2 linked regions of the Schizosaccharomyces pombe genome follow. Each later gene encodes a partner of the first gene's protein in a complex. Each region holds a gene or a part of one and is shown on either strand. Other genes may lie near its edges.

Region 1 (7,292 bases):
TTTCTCAACTTTAGTAAAGTCATGAATATTAGCATTATCCTTTTTCAGGAAAGAATGCAGCGTTTTCTGTCGCGGTGCTGCATGGACTTTCATCTGGTATCGAAACCGCTGAACCTTCTCTGCAAAACTTTGCGCAGCATCATTTTCTTCAACATTAACGTCGTTTAAATTTAAAGAGGGTGCTGTTTCACCTTTAGATTCAATCATTTTTCTTAACTTAGATTTTAAACAACGCAGCACACTTCGTCGATGGATTTATAAGCATCCAAAGACATTTGCTTCTTGTCTTACAAAAAATAGAAAAAGAAAATATATTTTAATCACAAGAGTCAAGGTTAACAAAGAGACTTCATAGTAAAACTACCTGTTGGTTTTTGAGATGAGTTTTGGCGAAACAGGTTACTATCAAATCCCAAAACATAATTTATTTATATCGTTAAGTCTCGGTAAATTGATAAAATGCAGGATTGAGTATTTAATTAAGTAAAATTATATCCATAAAAATAGTTTTAATAAGTTTGTTAGGTCGCTAAAGCAACTAATAGGATATTAGACTCCGGAAAGACATCCTTAATTGTAAATGCCTGGCGAGTATTTGCTAACCGGAATGCTTCGTCCGGGAGAATATCAATATGCGCTTTAACACCCAATTCTTCCAACATGACCTGAGGTGTTGAAAGTTCTGAAACCATTAAATATCCATGATAAATATTTTTTTGTACCTTTGGAAGTCTCTCTATATATTTTAAGGCCCAGAAACGATTAATGTATCTTCCTATAGTTTTAATTGATTTTTCTTTTTGGTTGTACAAATTTAGTTTTCCACGAAGAATACCATCAGGTATAGTATTTTTTGGAGTCTTTAATAATACCGACTGAATCTGATGATGAGTGAAGAAGTCGGTAAACCGGCGTAAAGGAGAGGTAGACTGAATATAGCCATCCTTTAGCCCCAAAGAAAAGTGGGAAACAGGTGTGGAGGCTAAATGTGAACTTTCAAATAAAGGCATTACAGAAAGTGAATACTTAGTTTCAACGAGTCCCCAAGATGACCTGTTACTTAACAAAGTTTCAAACGCTTTTCTTCGTACACCATCCATAATTGGATAAGGCTGGCCCCTAAAAATCCCAGGTAATTTATGTTCTTGAAAAAATAATGATGAAACCCGGCCAGCCAATATCATGCACTCTGATATTACTGATTCTGCCAAGCTATACCCTTCACTAACGTTCAAACTAATTGTAGGGAAGGAAGACCAGTATACTGGATGATTCAGATCACCAAGATTATAAGGGACATTATTAGGCAGCAATTCAACTGTCGGAGTGGGTTGTGCAATAACAAACGCAAACTTTTGTAACCTAGAAAAACAGGCTTGTTTCGAAAGTTCATATATTCTTAATATATCTTTCATGTGATCATTTGATACTCCTTTTGTTTCCTCATCCACTGGTCCAGAAACGATGTCTTTCGCAATTGATCGATTACTATGCAAAGCTTTATCCAGTTGTTGGGGTGTGTATTTGATAACTGAGGAAATGAAGCTAGGCCGAACCTTGTAATCAAGTATATCGCCATTTTTTGAAATTTTAGCACTAAAAGTTAATGCTCTTTGAGCTGTAGAAGATGAATCTAAACTCCAATATTTCTGAGTGATATTGAGAGGTAGCATATACACAATTTTGTTGGGATGATAAATAGTTTGAAAGTTCCTTTCAGCAAACGTGCCTAAAGGACTGCGAATGTCAACTGTACTCGTAGGATTAGCAACATGGATATGAAGCCAGGAATTAGACATCCCTAATTCTTCAACCGAAATCGCATCATCTATCTCTTTCGTAGAAGAACTATCAAAGGCGAACGCTTTAAGATGCCTTAAATCGACGCGTTGCGATTCAAGTGAATCTTTTAATTCATTTTTTACAAACTTTTTAAAGTGATTACACTCACGTTCATACACAGCATCTAACTGAGGATTAGTACCAAGGCCAGCAATGCTGTATTCCTGTTGAAACAACCTCGGGGGCTGCCATGAAGCCCACACGCCAATATCCGTTAAGAATTTAGCAAACTGATCACTAGTTAATCCCCTCTCGTGAGTTTGAAGGCCAACTTCTTTGTAAACCTGACACAAGTGTGTATTTGGTAAACTTTGAATACTTTTTGCAATCATTTCCTGAACAAGATACCGCAATAGTTTTTTTTCAAATTCAGTCCAAGTGACCTGTGAATAAACTACGGGTTTTATTTCTTCGGTGCTTATAGGTAACTTATATTTATCTCGGGAAACTTGAATTAAATGACGAGCTTTCTTTATAAACGAAAGATATGGTGTTGATTTCTGACGCAGGCATGCAACAACGTCGTCAAAAGAATCATTTTGTGAAGAGGGAAGGAAATAGACTTTTTGAATTTCGGAAAATATGTGATCGCTTATTAAAAAATGTTTGCTTTCTGTAAGCAAAAAGTGTAACAATGAGATTTTAGCATATGGGCTAGGCTTCGAAGTTTTGTACACAAATTTCAAAAGGTCTGAAAAAGAAGCTGAATTGTCAAGTTTATTTGGAATATTGAATTCTGTCAATATTCGCAAAAATTCATTTCGGTGACTTCGACTTAAATCTTGTGCTCTTTGAGAGATTTTTTTTAATAACTTTATAGTGAAAGGTAGGACATCAGAAGGAACAGAAACATCAGAAAGAGGTTGCTGCACCTCTTTCAGCTTTTTAAAGACATTAGGACATCTCAGTAAAACTCTAGATGTACGAAATTCCTTAATAGTACCGTTTTCGTTAATGCTGGTCAATACATTACTATAGTTCCAAACATTAGTACCAGTGCATGCAGCAAGTTCAATGCCTTCGGAGCCCCTATAAAACACTAGCAAATCTCCACGATCGTACTGTCTAAAATTCTCACTGCTGAAATCTTCTAAATCAAAAGAATACTCAAAATCATTTTCCAACTTCTCTTCCTCAGATTTTGTAGTAGTAGGACAAACAGCAGCGCGTTTGTCCTTCTCGAACTTGTCTTTCAACCACTGTCTAATGTTTCCATGATTTTCTAATTCAGAGAAAAATTTTTTAAGGTTTTCCTCATTCACGGATTTCAAATTAGCATTTTTAAATCGATCAATAAGATCTGATTGAGTATGCTTCAAACGCGCACCACAATGTCCCCAAAGATGATGATCGTTTGCTGGTTGTTTCCCGAAATTTATTAGGCATCCAGTTATGCGGAAATATTTCAAAACTTTTGAACTGGAAGGGCAAGCATGATGAAATTTCCTTGTAAGTTTACAAGGAGACAATTTTAAAGACAGGCATACACGTTTTAATAAATAATTAGACTCTAAATTAACATTTTGAAGAAGAAACAATTGCCTATAGTTCATGGGCAAAAACCCTATAATTAGTAACACCAAAAATAGTGTTGATGGTAAATTCGACTAGAGAGCTGAACCAGAGCACTTTTAGGTACTAGCAAGTATTAAGGTAACAAGCTCTGCAAATGTAAATGAAGAGTGGTTTAATAACTAATGTAACAGAAGAAAGATTTCAATATGAGTATGGAGTTTTTTGATTTTTTTTTTTTTGAATTGAATGGTCGAGGGGATGGGCGACTTCAAAGTGAAATACATGAAATCACAACCTCAAGGTAAAACTAATTGAAAAATTATATCATTAAAAGAAGGCTGCTTTCCATCAATTACATTTACTTTTAATTATTGAAGCTTCTGGTCTACGCCTAAGCAATTTACTAATAGTGGTATTGGAAAAGAGAGAAAATTAAGAGTCGCCGACGATTTCAAAAATAGTATAAAATACCATGAAATCTTTCCATAATGTTATTTAAATCACTATATGTAAGACGTATTTATATTGGTCTTTAACCCGTTTATTTACAACATTTCAACCAATTAATAAGTAGTGAAATTAACGCAGAAGGATACAAGGAGATTTTTTTATGAATAATTCTTATAAAAAATAGAACAGTAATGTATCAACGTTAGCCCCCAGCGTTTATATTTACGCTTTTGCTTTTTTATTTACATCCCAGCGCCTTCCAACATATAATACATAACGTACTGCGTTCCAATATTTTAAATAATTCGTGTCAACAAGTAGTTAACTACCTGGTCTGATACATACTTCACTTCCACCACTTTATAAACAACGCGTATAAAATAATATGGAACGCCCTACACCTCGAGTTACGAAAGATATGCTACCAGAATGCTCTGGAAAAACGGTTCGGATTGTTGGCAAGGCGAATCAAGTTGAAGGTGAAACTGCAAAAGTCGATTCCAACGGTTCTTTCGATATGCACCTCACTGTGGTACGTTTTATCTATTTTACAATCGGTTTTCAGAGTTTTTTTATTTTATCTAACTAATTTTAGGATAACACTCTTGAACCCAATCATTTCTATGAATTTGTCGTTTCTGTCAAACCAGATTCTTCGGTGCAGCTTTTAACCTGTGTTGATTTTGGCACTGATATTGGTAAGTTGTGTTTATAAAAATAATAAGGAAGTCCTTTGAACTTCTGCTTCTGCTAAGTCCTACATTCTATTGACCGATTAACTAATTTCCTGTTCCTTTAGATATGGAGGTATACCAGAAACTCGTTCTATTCAGTCATAAGTATAACTCACTTTTTTTTGAATAAGAAACATTTTATGGATCATACAACACAGATTTCTCTTTCATTTCTCATGCACAGTACAAATAAACATGGAAGAATAAACGCGCAGAATCTTGCTTCCTTCTTTTGGTTTTTGCATATTTTATTGCATTTCTAAACTCAAGCTTTTCTTTTATAATGATTCTTCCTTTTGGCTAATACAAATATGAATTTTACTATCGTTTATTTCACTTTTTTTGATTCTTGTTTGAGTATTTTTATATAACGTTCTCCTTTTTTCGCACTATCTTATTTAGTGTATCCTTGAGATGCTCATCGCGGACGATTCGGCTCCGAAGACGGTACATACCGGTGTTTCTTACGTTTGCTCATCCTTCAGTCACCCTGCCATTGTAACAATCCAACTACCATATATATACAAAGCGAGCAACGCAAGTATATCTAGTGGTACTACGCTGAATATCGCTTATTCCTAAAGAAAATTGGTTGTTTTGAGAATTATTATATTACTTTTTCCTTTACAAACTTTTTTGCTAAAACTGTTGTTTAGCAGTTATTGAGATTGTTAGAGAAATAACGTTAGAAAACGTGCATATGCAGAAGTTGGATTGTTTCGGAATTGCTCCGATTGAAATACTCTAAATATATCTGACATTTGTTCTTTGCATTTCTGTCTGCGCCTTATCTTTAGAGATCAGACACGTTTCTTTGAATATAATCTAACTTGCTTGCATGTTAAATTGGTCGAAACAGAGATAAAAGATATCCTGGAATTCATGGTAAACCATCGAGATCTCTTACTAAAAATAGAGAAAAAAGAAAAGAGTTAAGTATTTCGAACCCTATAGTAATTTAAGTCTTGGGAAAATACCTTTTTTCATTTAATTCCATTATTTCTAATTTCCTTTGATATTTCTTCTTTTACGGTGAAAAGAATACCCTTTGCAATCTAAACTGTTAATAGTTTATTCAAAACCAACATTCGTTAATTTTATCGATACAAAACCACGATGAAAGATTCGGAACATCACCATCATGGCCACAACGGCTTTAGTAAGTTTCTCCATAAACTTGGTTTTGGCAAGTCAAAAGGAAAATCGCATAAAAGCAATACCAGCAGTATTCATGAAAGAGAAAATACTGCTGCCAAAGGACCCGCCTCTAATGTGCGTCCTGCTCGCCCTAATGTTAGCACATCTTCCACTTCGAACGAGGTCAGAAAATCTGTACCTGTTGGTAATCCTACTGTACATACCAAAACAGGGTCTTCTTCATCTCCTGCCTCAAAGATGAGAAATACAGTCAACTTGCAGCATATTCAAGCAGCTAACCAAAAAACTCGTAATGCTGAAGGTGAAAGAAAGGTCGCTCAACGCAGGGTCCAATCTGATAAAGCTGAAGCTAATGATGCAGCCATGAGTAGTTCAGCTCCAACGGTAGATGTTTCCGAAGGTAATTCTGCCGCTGAACCAAAAATTACACCCGATGATTCAGATACACCCAGACTTAATGTAGATATGAATGATAAAATAAATGTCGATGAAGCTGCTGCTAAATCTGATAGCAAACTTAATGTCGATCAGATTAATTCTACTACGGAATCTGAAAAAAGAGTTGAGAAAGTTAATCCAAATATTGCGAATAATCCGCTAAAATCACCGGATGCAGTAGCATATAGCAGTGAGACGGTTTCTGATGAAAAACAACCTACTGAGCATCCTGTATCTGCTAATGTCCCTGCAAAATCTGAAAAAGCTGTTTGTGATGAAAATACCAAAATTTCGCTTACAAACACAGAGCATTACAAGTTTCATTCACTTCGCGGAGACGTTGAAGTTGTTGTTGGTGATTTGGAACGTGACGGAAGAGATACCTCTTTAGGCGATGCTTCGGTAAATGAAGCCGCTAAAGAAACTGACGTCGACTCTAGTCGTTTTATTTCAGATGAAAAAGCCGTGACTGAGGATGCGATGAAAACTGAACATGCCTCCAATGCCCCTCTCACTGATGAAAGGCATTTTCAGTTCCATTCTTCTGAAGGAGACATTGAAGGAATCGTTGGGACAATGCAGCGCCAAAGACAATCTGTCTCTTCGTATGACACTATCGTTCCTAGCCAATTCTATAAACAGAAGGTGGTGCAAAATAGCCCCCCAAGCTTGTTGAGCACTGATAACAAAATTCCAGAATCCGGCTCAGATCATCCCTCAAGTCAAGATAATTCCAGTAAAGCATCCTTGGTAGAAAACTCTCAGACACAATCATCTACTCCGAGAAAGCCGTTGCCAACTACCACTAGTCCTAAAGTAAATCCGGAACCGCATAGCGAAAGTATATCTGACACACGACCTTCTACTCCTAGAAAAGTGCCACCAAGTACAGTTCCTAAAATGAACCCGAAGCTCCAGGGTGGCAATAGCGTTACAGCCCCTTCCACCCCTAGTAAAGTGTTGCCAGCGATGAGTCCCAAGGTGGCTCCCAAATTCCAAGGTGGACGCAGCAGTACAGCGCCCTCTACTCCTAATAAGGTATTACCAGCAGCATCTGCTAAAGCTGCTCCAAAGCTTCAAGAAAAAGCTGCATCATTTGACATTCCTAATAAATCTACTATTATCTCTACTAAGTCAACGGTAGCATCGCCAATT
Region 2 (4,617 bases), on another chromosome or scaffold:
TTGCGAGACGGATTAAATAGTTTACTCCATTCCATTTAGAATGTGGGGAGCTAATTAAGGATCTTTAAAGATAAATTTGTACGATTTAATCAAAGAAATGTTGTATTTTAAGATTTTGTATGTAATTAACAAAATTTGTCGCAAAACAGTCTTTTTGCTCAGTTATATTATTATTACTCAATTAAAGAATGTAACCTGCTGTTATTGGTATCTAAATCGCTTCCTTATTAAAGTTGTTTATTTATAAAGTAAATTTAAAAAAATCATGGTTCATATTCCTGTTAAAATAGGATTGCATTTTCGTAGACTCGTATTTACTTCAAAACAATCTGGTAATTTATTTCTTCAACAGTTTCAATTCTAAAACAATTGATAAGTTTACTGTATATTTTACTTCATATTAAAAGATATCATTGCATTCTTTTAGCGGTGATTTCAATCAAGCCATTATAGCGTAAATTACCCATCAAGGAACTTTAATATGTAAGCAACAGAACTAATTACTCCAAAAATTCAGATCATATATAATTACTTTAAATCTAGTTAAATGTAAGTGAAGTACCAAATCATAAGGAAAGGAGTCACTTTGTAATCAATGTATGCAAAATCATAAATCGTAGTTTTCGCGATTTAAGCCAAAAACTCAATTACTCGACCAGCGAGACGTAAAACACAATGTTTTATTGAGCAGACTCAATGAAATTTATCAATCTTTTAGACTCTTCCTTCCAGTCCATTTGATTAATTGACATCACTGTATAGCGTACTCGCATTTCACCTTTAAAATTGTCTTGCTTAGCACGACATTGAAAGATATATGGCATATAGCAAGCTTCTGCCATACAATTCATAAAGGCATTTTCGTCGTTTTCTTGTAGATCATTCAATTCGTCTGCCGTTTTATGCATGATTAATTTACCGACGTCGTCAAAGACGTTGAGCCAGAGTTGTCCCGTATGATCACCTACAGCAATAGTTATAATATAACGGTATTGAGGAGCATCATATTCTTTATTACATTTCTCACATCGCCAGGAGCCACCTTGATCAAAAACCTTTTTGTTGCAATCAGCAGCAGGGCAAGCAGGATATGACACGTTTTTCTTTCGAATGTAAACAATGGTGCCCTTTAAGCTAAAATAATCGGGTGTTTCTGACATTCCCAGATGTTCGGCTTGAACCTCAGCAATATTTTTACGTTCAGCACTCCTTCCAGTAGTAGATAAAGTAGATGAAATTACGCTATGTTTGGCAAATTCCTGCCCTCTACCCTGTCCATCATACCAACCTTTTAACAAATGAGATTCCTGGATATCTGGATCTACCGACATGGTGCTGCTAGTTAACATTGACAAAGAGCGTCCTTGAAAGTCATTAACTTTAACTCCTTTGAAAGCGAGAATACTTTCTTCAGAAACAGAGAATTCAATAGCTGTCTTTCCCCAAAGCGTAACACGCATTTCATATCCTGTTTGGTCAACGATAGTGATATCACGCTTGTCAAATCCACGAGAAGTTGCACGACTGGTAATTTGTTGAACTGGTCCAACGTTTTGGAGTACACCAATTACATCGATAACAGCATCTTTGGCAACATCGCCGACTTCTTGTAGAGAAACAAAACTAAACTTCGCAACGGGGACGGCAGTTTGATCCTCAGCTTTCCTTATTTCAGTATCACGTTCAAACATCAGCTCATACTCGTTTTGAACATTGGTATATTGTTTTTTTGCAATGTTCACACGACAACGAGATATATAATAAACCGAACCTTCCTGTAAGATATCATAAAAAGCATCAACCTGGTCATTAAAGCCTGTTGCACGAATCTCCCCACTTTCATCGAGTAAATTTACGCTAAAAAGCTTTCCTTCACCTCGTTGATTATGCCAATGTTTAACCTCAGATTTGTTAGTAACACGGGCACGAATAGTCCATTTATTCTGATATGGAGAGAGACCTTCAATTGGGTAGATTATTGTGCTAAGGCTATTCGGCGCTGCTGGCTTCTTCATCATGGGAGGTGGAGCCGGTGCTGTAGCTGCAGCATTGTTTCCATAAAATGAGTTAGTGCTTGTCGAAATACCTGTTCGTGGTGCGCTAGCATTGTTTTGCTCATTTTGCTGCTGCCGTAAAGCGTCAACTGTTTCTAAACCAGCGGGATTACCAATTTTATCCATTACGCCAAGTTCAGTTAAAACATTCAAACCAAGAACAATCAAAATTTTTCTTTCTTTCATAACGTTTACAGTGAATTGGGTAAGCTGTACGAACGCTCCTTTTTGAAGTTTATTTTCGGCAACCAAATGGTTCAGCTGGGTGCTTAACATAGATTGCGCATAATTGATTGAATCGGAAAGGACAACACGATATCTTTTAGGAGCACCAGAAGTTGGATTTGAGTTTAGCTCCTTCACGGTTAAGACTTGGAGAATTGGATTAGGAGGAAAAGACGAAGCATCGGATGTACTAAAGAAACGTGTTAACATCCCAATTTGTCGAAATCTTTTGAGTATATAATTTGGACAGTTAACTTACTTGATTATACGAAGTGCACCCACGGATAATCGCTCAGCCATGTTTGCAAATTCTTTTTTTTTTAATTAGTGGTTGGTTTAAGGCAAAAGAACGAAGCCGCGTCGCGTTATCCCAAATGAAAAACGCGAACGCGTCATGACGCGTCGTAACACATTTTAATATTACGCGTAACTTTAAGATGTGTTGTTTGTGTACGTGCATGTCAACAATGGTTGTTTACTTTCAAAGTTATCCTTTGCGCACAACACATTGCTATAGAAAAGCCCTTAAAAGCTGAAAAGAATAGTAGTGTTATTTAATTCTCTACAAAAGGAAATAAATCCTTTGTGATTTTCCTTTTGTTGGAAGAGTTGAACTACATTATCATCTGCATATTATTTATTATTTAGGAAAACCGGAGATATCAAAGTGAAAACGGGATTTTAACAGCTAATAAGCAAAAAAATATAACTTTATTTACATTCAGGTTTCAGTTAAAGATGGATTCATCAACCACCATCCCAATTACTCCAACGCGAACACCATGTTTTTTTAATATATCCTCTTCGTTTAATGAGCATTCTCCATTAAATTTCTACGATGAACCCATTTACAATTTTTCGTCTGGCCATGAAGAAAATCAGAGCCATAAGTCATCAAAACTGACATTCTTTAAACCTTCCAATACAAAAAGAAGTCCACATACCCCTATGCAAAATAATGCAAAAGCCATCAGATTATCCACTACAGTTCGCCACGGAATTTTTAAGAATTCAGATCTCGATGGGTGTAGCAAACCATTTGCATTTTCGAGCGGCTTGAAGTTATCCAAAAAAATTGTGGATGCTTCAACGCCAATTGATTTAAAACGAAAAAGGGCGGTGACTTCTTTAAGCACAGGACTGTTATCAAAACGTGAAAAGTGGTCATTATGGGAAGGGAATTTGACTAATCCAAGAAGTGAACAACCTCATACACCTTGTAAAAAGGGAACGAAAATAAAATTAAAACCACCTCAATCTCCGCTGTCACCCACTACCTCTCTTTTAGCTCGCAAATGTAAACATATCGACCTAGATACTTTTAGTCGGTTGGATCATCCAAACTCTGACAGCTCGGATGAAACGTTTGAAATGGAAGAACTTCCTTCTTTGTCTTATGGTTCAGAGGACTTGTTGGAATTTTGCGAAACGCCTTGCAAGAGTCAGCCTATTTTCCTTTCAAGTTCCCACGTTAATAACTGGGATGAGAAAGACGTACCTTCTTCATTAAGTTGGACACCTACCAGTCCAATTTTTTTAAACATCAACAGCGCAGATGATTACGAAGAAGAGGAAGATTGGACTAGTGATCTTCGAATTCGATTCCAACAAGTTAAGCCGATACACGAGAGTGATTTTTCATTTGTATATCATGTGTCTTCGATCAACCCACCTACTGAAACGGTTTACGTTGTAAAAATGTTAAAAAAAAATGCAGCCAAGTTTACAGGAAAAGAGCGTCACTTACAGGAAGTATCTATTTTGCAACGCTTGCAAGCATGTCCATTTGTAGTAAATCTAGTGAACGTTTGGAGCTACAATGATAATATATTTTTGCAATTAGATTATTGTGAAAACGGAGACCTAAGTTTATTTTTAAGCGAATTGGGATTATTGCAGGTCATGGATCCTTTTCGCGTGTGGAAAATGTTGTTTCAACTAACTCAAGTAAGTTATTACATATTTAAAAGTCGCGTTCCACAGACACGTCATTTGAATTCACTAACCGAACATAGGCATTAAATTTCATTCATCTTTTAGAATTTGTTCATTTAGACGTTAAGCCTTCCAACGTTCTTATAACTCGTGATGGTAACTTAAAGTTGGGAGACTTCGGACTAGCAACTAGTTTACCGGTCTCCTCGATGGTTGATCTCGAAGGCGACAGAGTCTATATAGCTCCCGAAATATTAGCTTCGCATAATTATGGGAAACCAGCCGATGTATATTCACTAGGCCTCAGTATGATTGAAGCCGCAACAAATGTAGTCCTGCCAGAAAATGGTGTTGAATGGCAACGACTAAGGTCTGGAGATTACTCAAATTTGCCAAATCTTAA

The links.
Region 2: ssb3 (region 1) and ssb1 share a complex: the UniProt entries of both Schizosaccharomyces pombe proteins name them as parts of the heterotrimeric canonical replication protein A complex.

The regions. Positions count from the first base shown.
Region 1 is NC_003421.2:1,279,265-1,286,556, reverse strand, and holds ssb3 (DNA replication factor A subunit Ssb3), read left to right. Parts: upstream 1-4,155; 5' UTR 4,156-4,192; coding exon 4,193-4,339; intron 4,340-4,402; coding exon 4,403-4,505; intron 4,506-4,606; coding exon 4,607-4,671; downstream 4,672-7,292. Other genes in the region: pxd1 (protein Pdx1), read right to left, coding at 1-207; rpm1 (3' ssRNA-specific 3'-to-5' exonuclease), read right to left, coding at 522-3,395; pdr16 (sec14 family protein), read left to right, coding at 5,658-7,292. UniProt on the Schizosaccharomyces pombe protein: As part of the replication protein A (RPA/RP-A), a single-stranded DNA-binding heterotrimeric complex, may play an essential role in DNA replication, recombination and repair.
Region 2 is NC_003423.3:218,682-223,298, forward strand, and holds ssb1 (DNA replication factor A subunit Ssb1), read right to left. Parts: upstream 2,618-4,617; 5' UTR 2,580-2,617; coding exon 2,539-2,579; intron 2,470-2,538; coding exon 681-2,469; 3' UTR 501-680; downstream 1-500. Other genes in the region: M phase inhibitor protein kinase Mik1, read left to right, coding at 3,018-4,226, 4,295-4,617. UniProt on the Schizosaccharomyces pombe protein: As part of the replication protein A (RPA/RP-A), a single-stranded DNA-binding heterotrimeric complex, may play an essential role in DNA replication, recombination and repair.